2 linked regions of the Arabidopsis thaliana genome follow. The protein of the gene in region 1 interacts with the protein of each later gene in a pairwise test. Each region holds a gene or a part of one and is shown on either strand. Other genes may lie near its edges.

Region 1 (3,479 bases):
GATGTGTACAGCTTCGGGGTAGTTTTGCTAGAGCTGGTGACTGGAAGAGAAGGAAACAACGGAGATGAACACACAAACTTAGCAGATTGGTCATGGAAACATTACCAATCTGGAAAACCGACCGCAGAGGCGTTTGATGAGGACATCAAAGAAGCTTCCACGACTGAGGCGATGACAACAGTTTTCAAGCTAGGTCTCATGTGTACTAACACATTGCCTAGTCATAGACCTTCCATGAAAGAGGTCTTGTATGTTCTGCGCCAACAAGGACTTGAGGCGACGAAGAAGACTGCAACAGAGGCATATGAGGCACCTCTACTAGTTAGTTTATCGGGTCGAAGGACAAGTAAAAGGGTAGAAGATGAAGATTTAGGTTTTGTATAATCAAATAATCACAACACTTGATGTTGTTTTTTTTGTGAAATGTACAAATGTATTAGAAACCATTTAGTTTTTGTGTAAGCAAAGTTTTAGTTAAGAGTATAACTACCAGCTTGTAACTTATTTGAGAACAAAATCTGAAAGTCTGAATAAAAAATGGTCTTAAAGAATTTGTTATTCCTTATAATAATAACACTCTTATTAAGAATCAAGGCAAAATATGCATACAAAACAGAGAAAGATGATGATTGATTTGTGTTACAATAAGAAGAGAAATTATTTAGAGTCTTGCTGAACTTTCTTTAACTGAGCCTCGGTGTTTCTTCTTGCGCCTTGTAGAATCGTTTTATCCGCGGTTATGAAGAACGCAGCGATAGAAGCTGTTCCAATGATCACCATAATCACAAGATAGAAATCAGAAGAAAATTGTGGAGAAATGAATGTACGAATACTTAAAAACCCCAAACTCAACTAGGTTCAAAAGGGAAGTTCGAGGTTTCTACAACAATGTTAAAGCTAGTATCTTTTTTCTACTTAGTTCCAGGAAGAACATATAGTAATGATTTAAGGCATATTGCTGATAGAGCTAACCTGAAGAAATAATGAGTGCTTGAGCAGTGTAGTTGAGGTTTGCCTTAGCCCACGGGAACATACGAACGGCAGCTACCTGTTACGAAAACAAGGCATGCTTATGTACCAAATTCATATCTTATATACACATCAAAAAGAATGTGACTCTACTTGGTGTATTCAGAAATCACAAAATGAATAGGTAACAAAATTGAAACTCTTGATTATTACAGAACATGAGATTGGTGAGTCACTTTTGTCTTAAAATTCAACAACAAAGAAACATAACTCTTACATTTAATTCATTTAAGATCTCAATTTAAAAAATTTAGATAAGTGAGATTATATGATTACTGTGGGAATCGCACTGGCGACGGCGGCAACGGCGGCGGCCTTAGCTCCGGCAATAGCTCCGGCTGTAACATAATCCAAAGTCATCAATTTAAAAGATTTTTTTTAGGGGAAAAAAGAGAGAGAGAGACGGAGAAAGAAGAAGAGACCTTGTTTGGAAGTTTCGGCTCGATGGATCTTAGCAATCTCGTCGGGAGAAGCTATGACGAAGAGATTCTGCTGCCTCCGGTTACCCATTTCTGACCGATTTTCCATTTTCAGTGTCGCTTTTTTGATCTTTCGATTTCAAGGAGAGAGAGAGAGAGAGAGACGGGTCGCGATTTGCCTTTTTCTTTGGTTAGGAAATAAATGATTAGGACGAAAATTAAAAATTCGTTTTTTTTTTTTATAAGTTGGGAATCTTTCACCAAAATAATGAAACGCCAATATTGAAAACAAAGTTGTCAAAATACTATAGTCTATAAAACGCCAATTTAGAAATGTATTTCAATCATGTATTTAGAATAATTTGTGTTAGAAAACAGATAAAACAATTATTATGTTATAGATTATTTTTAAAATAAAATAAAATTCAGTGGTTCGTAAATGTTTGTTATTGAGAATATTTTAAATTTTAGATTTTTAGTATTTTTAATGCACAATGGTCTTTTGGAGCGGTTTTAGAAATCGACTTAAGAAATGTTTGGAGTCAATTTTGTTACCATACGGATATCTTTAGAGATATAAGAAATTAATCGATTCAGTTTTAGATAAAATTTATAAGTGAAAAAATGATTAAAAAAATATAATAAATTAGTTAATTTCATTAATGATGATATTTTTGTATAGAAAGATAAATTAAAACTTAATTTTATATGTGATTAAAATAGTAATTTTTAAAAAATTGGTTAGTTTATTTTAATTACATAAAATTTAAAATAAAATTTTTGGTATAGAAGTTGAGTTTTAAATGAATTCGGCCTTAATGCTTCAAACATACAAAAGCGAAGATATAGAGAGCCCATCAAAAGTACTAGGGACCAACAGAAAATGTTAAGATTTTATTAATAGTTCAATATTCTTTTTTTAAAAATATTATAATACCTGAATTGGACTTGAGCCAAAGTTTTACAAATCAAAACAACAAATACAAAACGGAGGCAAGAATCTGACAATATCTCCGGTAGACGAGATCTTACTTCGGCGGTAGTTCAATATTGTTCTAATGATTTAACTTGATTGCTTAGATTGGATGATAGAATGTATTTCTAGTGTTCTAATTTAATTGGTTACTTGAACTTTGATACCCTTCTATTGCTATGGTTTTTATACACTTGTGGCAATGAGTGATATTGTAAATTAAATTAGAAAATATGGTGCTAAGGGATATGTGATATAATGCATATATATCCGAGCTACTCGAAAGTCGAAACAGGGTCTAAGCTTCCACCTATGGCTAATTGAGTACTTATGTGCATGAAACATGAGCATAAGAGGTTGATGGAGCTGTTTTACTGTATGCATCTTTCTGCAACCCAAATCCAAAGAGTAGTTGTAAATTTCATGAAAGTGAATGTAATGTCTATAGTCATGTCATAATGTTACTGACAGTCCAAGAGGTGAAGAGCGGTGTGCGGGTGTCTCCAAAATTGTATGTGGTATATTGTGTTTTTAGTGTCTTATGTCCTTTGTCTAGTGTTTGTTTTGAGTTGTTTGTCACATTTTTGTTCGTTTTTAATGTATTTTTCGGTTGTTTTGTACAAGTTTTACGAAGTTATACTGGAATTGGAGACTTTTTAAGTGAAAAACAGACGTTAGGAGATGAAACGGAAAAATGGTGATTCAAGACAACTCCGATGAATGCCATCAGACAACTTTTTGATGCTTAATTTTAAATTTTCTATCAAATTCCACTGGAAAATGGCATCGGACAATTCCCTGATTGAGCACCAATATAATTGAACCCTACCGCAAGAAGTATTGCCTCCTATAAAAACAAGTTGAGAACATTTTCAATGCGAGTTGTCTATAAAATTTTCGGTTGCAAATAAAATATAAATATTATTATTTTGGATCCTTAATTACATTTTTCCTACTACTTATAGAGCTTACATATCTGTTGTTTCTACTTTTACTTATTTTTTTAGTTATTGTGAAACAAAACATATATATTAATTTATACGAATTAAAGGTTTTCA
Region 2 (6,900 bases), on another chromosome or scaffold:
CATAGGGTAGCAAATGAACAACAAATGAGTTCTGTACATGTCTACTCTAAAATAATCAGACTGGTTTTTTCTGATTTTACAACTGGATTAGCCATATTTGTTTAAAGTTATTGATTGTTTGTGTATTTTTTTTCCTTACTATGTAATATTTCTGGGAGCTTATATTTGGGTTCCCAAAGTTGAAAATTTACCATTTTTGCTTGGTTTTACACTTTTAAGGTTTTAAGTATCTCGTTGTTTGTTCTCTATCTGTTCAACAAACGCCTTTGGGAGGTTACTTTTGTTAGTTTTGATTCTATTCCCTATCAACTATATGCTAAAAGAGGAGATTTCATGGCACTTAGTGATAAAAGTCAAATATGCCTGGTCTGTTCTGTTCTTGTGCTGCACAGATTATAGATTTGCGTCACTGGTGCTATCAAGCAAGGACCAGTGTTCTACTGCCAGCCAGGTAACAAATCTCCATACCATCTTCTGTTTATTTGATTTCCATAACACAGTTTCTTCTGAAGCTATGTTAGCAAACGAAGTGCCTTATTTGATATATTTACGGTGGTTCGTTGGTAGACTCTCTCTTAGGGGTTCATGCATGCATCACTTGTAATCTGATAATGTAGCCATGCTTATCTTTTTTCTCCAATATATGTATCTCTGATAGATACCATCCTCATGCTAAACAAATCTCATTAGTCAGAATGATAGTATCTCTCTTTTCTTTTTTTTTTCCTTACACAACGGGCTACAAACAGTTTATCAAGTTTGAAGAGAGTGACATCTGACATATTGAAATATATGGAAATTGCATCCTGCTGTATATGCTTCTAATGCAGTGGAGAGTTAAGTCCTTCCTGAGAAGAGAGAGCATGGTGAACAGGGTATCGCCTGGAAGGGAAAGGTGTCATTCTTCTGAAAGAAGGCCTTTTCTGGATATGGCTCAGAGTTCTCTTTGTGTATAACATGTGAATAACTGGGAAAACCTTTTCCCGGAACTTGAGGATGGCGAAGAAGGCAATCCTATACCCAATGAGAATCATCATCACAACTGCTAGATCCAACCACTTTGAACTTTCTGGATTTATGCCTAGAACAGTTTGAAGAATGAGTTCTCCTTTCATTTTTGGTACCAAGGGTAACGGAGAATCATACTCCACCCCAATCATCTCATTCTTGTATGCTCCCTGCAATTTATCAGGTATGCTCATTTAAGATAGCTACTTGACGATATAGTCTGCATCTTAAAGTTGAGAAAACCTGGTTACCTGTAGTGCCCATGCACCATAGTTTATGTAGGACACCGGGTATCGCCAGAACACCATTGGTAAGTCGGGGAAGAATCGGAAAAACCCCGCACTTAACACCATAATTCCCTATGAGATGAAGGATAAAGCGGTTTTCAATTTAGAATAGTTTTTGGAGATATAAGAAAGCTTGTAGGTGAAAGAGCGACAGAGGCCACTCTTACAATGTAACCAGCTCCCAACATGACTCCCATCAAGAAGTTAGGGACTACTGAAGCTATCATCATCATGCAACTCTCCACAGTTGTAATCGCGCAGATAAGGTCGAGACAGTTGTAGAAGAAATGAGAACCTCCGGATTGGAACCTCACCATGTAGATAGTGATTGAGCTGGTGGAGAGGCACATAAGGATTATGAAAGGTAATGAGGAGAGTAAATTAGACACAGTGTATACTGCAACCCCATAGTGTCCATTGAGCCTTTCGCGAGAAAACACCTGTTTTCAGGAATAAAGATGCTAAAACATAAGATAAGTTTTTAGGTGAAGAAAGAGAATTTTTCTCTGTTTAGCTCTTTACCTTCATTTCTTCAATGAAGGATTGGAATCCTCCTATTGACATGAATGTCATAAAGCCTGCCATAAATCCGCCACAAGCTGCAGTACTCATAACATTTGTGTGGTTTCTCCCGACGTTGAAGAAGATTGACCCGACACAAATGGATAACACTATGTAGACTGCAATCCGCATCCAGTAGTACCCCAAGTCTCTACTCATGTTGATGAAAGATCGCTGAGTAAGTATTCTGAGTTGTTTCCACCAATTAGTTTGGCTCCCCTTTTTCCTTTCTGTGACAATCCCCACCTGTTGCACAAGGTTTATAACTGTGCTTATGAGACTCTCATTATGTGATACATTGTAGTTTTAAGGGAAGTAGTAACCGTAACTTACTATCGATGCTATTTCTTGAATTCTTGCTCTTGAAGCTGCTGCATAAAGTGAACACTTAAATTTTCTGACAAGTGTTGTTCTAATTTCTGCAGTTGGTATATCATCCAGAGGATCTAATGTGTTTGTAGTTTCATGTAGTTGGTGAAGAGAGAAAGATGAATCCTGCAGATGTAAAAGGTCGAGGTCAAAAGCTTGAGAGTATTGTAAGTTCATGAAAAAACAAGAAGGGCAGAGGAAAACAAACGTTGATTCTCCGAGATTCAACCAAAGCCGCTGTGACATTATCGAAATCGGAATTGACACAGCGAAGGAAGTGGTCTGATGGATTCCGTCTACTTGGACAAGGAAAACCTGCTTCACCAAAGAACTGCAATGTCGAAGCAACAACAACACAAATGAGCATAATGGTTATATACTCTTGCCAATGCTCTATCTTATTACCTTTGTTGCAGATTCTGCTTCGCCAAAGTAAACAGTTTCTCCTCCAGACAGAAGTAGCAGGTCATCAAAGAGGGCGAAAACCTCACCACTCGGCTGATGGATCGAAGAAACCACAGTTTTGCCACTGCTTGCTATGTTTCTAAGAATCTGAACCACGAAGAAAGCTGAAGCACTGTCCAGTCCACTAGTTGGTTCGTCTAGAAAGAGGAGACTTGGTTTTGTTAAGACCTCGAGGGCAATACTAAGCCGTTTCTTCTCTCCTCCGCTTATTCCACGCAAATGCCAGTTTCCAATGGTCCTGTCTGAACATTCTTCAAGACCCATGTCAGTGATTGTAGCTTCCACAATGTCACTGATCTCTTCTCTGGTAAGCTTTGAAGGGAGCCTGAGATGAGCCGAGTAAGATATGGATTCTCTCACTGTCAAAGTTCCTAGCAACACATCTTCTTGCGTCACATAAGCCTGAGAGTTTAGGACATTCATGAATAATAATAGTTTGATTGTGTAAAAGGGTAAAAACTAAAGAGAAAAGATAAATTTTCTTACGGCAGCACCAAAGTCAAGTCTTCTCTTCTTGCCATTGACAAGTACTTTGCCACTCATTACAACATTCCCTGCTAATCTTCCTGTACCATCACCAAATTTACCTTTTAATGTTAGATGTTAAATCTTTCATGTTTTTGAACAATCTTATAGCATTGATAGAACAATCTTATAACCCGGTTTTGGGTTTTTCGCTTTTACAAGAATATTAGCCACAGTAAAATTAAATTGGTTTCGATTAGTCATAAGCATAAAATAAAGATCTTCTTAATCCAATCAAATTTAGGTTTGGTCAAGAAAATAATAATCGATTTGGATTGTTTTTGGATTGAACGTAACATCCCTCAAAGAGTCCGACCAGTCACCAAACCGGGTTCAACTTGTGAAGAGATCGCAAGTCGGTATGAAGATACGATCGTGCAATCCTAAATATTTGTGTCAGAATATTGGTGATTGGTAGTTGGTTAACATTTAAAATATGATTTAATAAGAAATGTTACTGCAAAATTTCTGTACATAGTCTACGTTAGAGAAACGTAACTATCAATTTATTCAATACTAAATGTACGACGATGTAAATTTATTAATTAAGAACATGAAAATTGCAACTATTTTTTTTTTAATATTTATTTAGTACTCCGATAGTATATAGCTATACTTAAAAAATAAAATTGGTAGCTAGAATCCATAAATATAAAGTTAGAAATATCTATATATGTCTCATCGTGTACATGAAACTTAGATATAAATATAGCACTGTTTTTCAATAGTTATAAATATCTTGATACATAAATATGTTATATCATGCTCTCAAATTTCTTTTACATATATATATGTTACGTTTGGTCAAAGTTACAGAAGAAAAAAAAAAAAAATTACAGAAGAGTACAAAAACTTCAGTTAATATTTTCATTTCACCAAATTGTGATACTGATACAGTATGTACATAGTTTGTTGCTTTCAAATAGGAAAGTTATCAATTTTATTGTAGTAATGTATTTTTCCAATATACAAAAAACTAATCAAGTATCATATTAGTTAATTTTGATTACATACGAATTTACAGGTTAATAATAATTAAATATTTTATGTTGAATAGGACACACACCCACCCACGCACAGACATACACCTATATATATATATATATATATATATCTAACAAATAAATTCTAACTTATATTCTCAAATTTAACTACGAATGGCAGAAATCCTTATCAATTCCAAATAAAAATTACTAAAAGATTTGTGAATATTTTTTAATGTAAGAAAACAGAAATTTCTTATTTTCCAAAAGTGAAACACTTTTTACATAGTATATTGAGAAAGTTTCCTTGGACAATTTTTTAAAAGAAAGACATAACGTCATGTATATTGTTAATTATAGTTATATATATATATATATAGAGTACATAGAACGATTCACTAAATACTAGGTTCAAAGTGGGTAAGTCTCATCCTTTAATGTTGGTTTCAAAGCTAAATGTGGTTGGTTGTTAAATTCCTCTAAAAACTATATCTTTTAATTGTTGGTCGATGTTGCTTCAGCTTATTTGAGATTTATATAATAGAGGAAAACCATTTAACAATAAAAGAAATACATAATAAAAACGACGAGCTAATCTTGACATGTATGGGTGTGTGTGTCTGAGAGAGAGAGAAGGGACCTGCTAAAGCATCAAGAAGCGTAGATTTGCCTGAACCTGAAGGACCCATAATAGCTAAGATCCTATTTGGCTCACCACAACCATTCACTCCATTCAGTAATCTCTTAGTTGCTCCTTCACCGAAGTTTGGTATCACCACCGTAAGATCCTCCCACGCCACATACATCGCCCCCTCCGGCGTAGTCATGTATGCTTTTGTTAGATAGATCGAAAACTGAGCGAAGAGTTTTAAACTTGTTCTAGCTTAAGAGTTTTTTTTTTTGTTTCTTTGGGAGAGAAAAGTGTAATGTGTGTGAATGCTTGTGGCCTTATTTATAGTTATAAAAAGTTGTGCGGTGAATGTATTAAGAGAACTAGGGTCTTTGAAAAAAAAAATGTATAAATTAGGGTGGTCCAAATTGGTTTAAACTAATTTGAGTCAAACCGAAACTGTACCAAAGAAAGTGATTGGAAAAAACTAGATGTAATAAATTCGGTTACATATTTTTGATATATAAAATAAATCATGACTAAAAATAAATAAAACATATAGTTTAGTTAAAATAAAATAAAAAAAATTTAGAATCCGAAGAAAAATCGAACCAAACTAAATGATATTGGTTTCTATTTATTTTATGAAACCAAAACAAAATATCTACCCATGCAAAACAGAAAAGTGGATTAAGAATAGTGTAAAAGACAGAAAGGAAACTATTATATATGTACACTATCATGCATGCATAGACGAGGCATGTGACAGAAAAATTGACGTTTGATGTTATATTCATTTACTCGTTGGACCCGTTCGGTACTATATATGTCGAGAGCTACAGACATCCGCATGATAAGAAACTTATGGTTTCGTTACACGATTTAAGGAAACATAACACTTTAGGGTATATATCACGTAAATTGCAATAATTTTATTTTCTGGTAATTTTGTCCAAATTTTTTATAAAATTCCGATTTGGTTGGGTGTATCAACTAGTATAGCACTCCAAAACATTGTTTTTTTTCAAACGAATCACAGAGGAAATTCAAATCCATGAGGAGAGTCTATACTATTCAACTCAACTATATTTAGACGCCATTACTTTTGGAAAATTATTTGAATTATTTATATACATTGTGAACGTGATATATATAACTTAACATCGACATAAGGCCGTATATCAGAACGTTTAGATTAAAGTAATCTAGTTGTTGCATATTGAGTTTATGTAACTGGTAAGAAAGTAATCAAGAGAGTATATAAGGAATTTTAAGTATGTTGTGTAAACATATGATTGGATCAATTATTTTATCATAATGGCCGAAAATTAACCACGGAAAAGGTTATCATTAATATTTTAATTATTTTTATAAAGCAATTAATTTTGGTCGTATGTTAAATTTCTTATTGAGATATACTATTTAGTTTCTGCCTCTGGAAAGAAACCGTCCAATGTTCCTTGCTGCTTCAATGTGGTTCGTGTTGGTAATTTTTGAGGCAAAAGACGGATTCTCAACGTCATAAGATTTTTTTTATAGTGACTATTTTTAATCTCCCCCAAATTGTTTGCAGAAGTGTATTCGACACATCATGAGCTTGCTTGTTGCATTTTGCTATTTAACTTTTGTTTTCGAGTTTTTATTTATGGCCCCCTATCATCTATTTTTATTGTTTATCAAACCTATCGTTCTATTTATATTGTAAGTTTATATATTTTTTTTAAGATTATAATACCGAACCATGAATTTGAAGAGCTTGCAAATTTATTCTCTTTCGGATATGACGAATGGAAAACAAGTATGTTGTAAAAAAAAAAAAAAAAACAGATGGTGACGGATTTGTTTTAACCATGTGATGTTTTTAACCATGTTTCGTGCTAATCAAACACATACACAGTACCAAATACACTGTTTCAACGTTTATGTCTTCTTGTCTTCAATTGTATCAACAGAAATTAAAGCTATGTAGTTAGTGTGACTAAATTATTCATTTCTGCTAAGAAAGAAAATTCATTACTGCGATAACCTAATCATAGATTGTTAGATAAACTTATTAAATGACTTCTTCCATCTTTTCCATATCATAACTATA

What was found.
Region 2: the proteins of AT5G25940 (region 1) and ABCG13 interact in a protein complementation assay, tested with the Arabidopsis thaliana proteins (one large-scale study listed by BioGRID).

The regions. Positions count from the first base shown.
Region 1 is NC_003076.8:9,053,595-9,057,073, forward strand, and holds AT5G25940 (early nodulin-like protein), read right to left. Parts: upstream 1,662-3,479; 5' UTR 1,558-1,661; coding exon 1,452-1,557; intron 1,368-1,451; coding exon 1,306-1,367; intron 1,049-1,305; coding exon 973-1,048; exon of another isoform or gene 762-972; coding exon 658-761; 3' UTR 528-657; downstream 1-527. Other genes in the region: AT5G25930 (kinase family with leucine-rich repeat domain-containing protein), read left to right, coding at 1-384.
Region 2 is NC_003070.9:19,076,311-19,083,210, forward strand, and holds ABCG13 (ABC-2 type transporter family protein), read right to left. Parts: upstream 5,142-6,900; 5' UTR 5,026-5,141; coding exon 4,839-5,025; intron 3,257-4,838; coding exon 3,177-3,256; intron 3,093-3,176; coding exon 2,631-3,092; intron 2,557-2,630; coding exon 2,434-2,556; intron 2,352-2,433; coding exon 2,190-2,351; intron 2,103-2,189; coding exon 1,818-2,102; intron 1,736-1,817; coding exon 1,463-1,735; intron 1,368-1,462; coding exon 1,260-1,367; intron 1,179-1,259; coding exon 822-1,178; 3' UTR 528-821; downstream 1-527.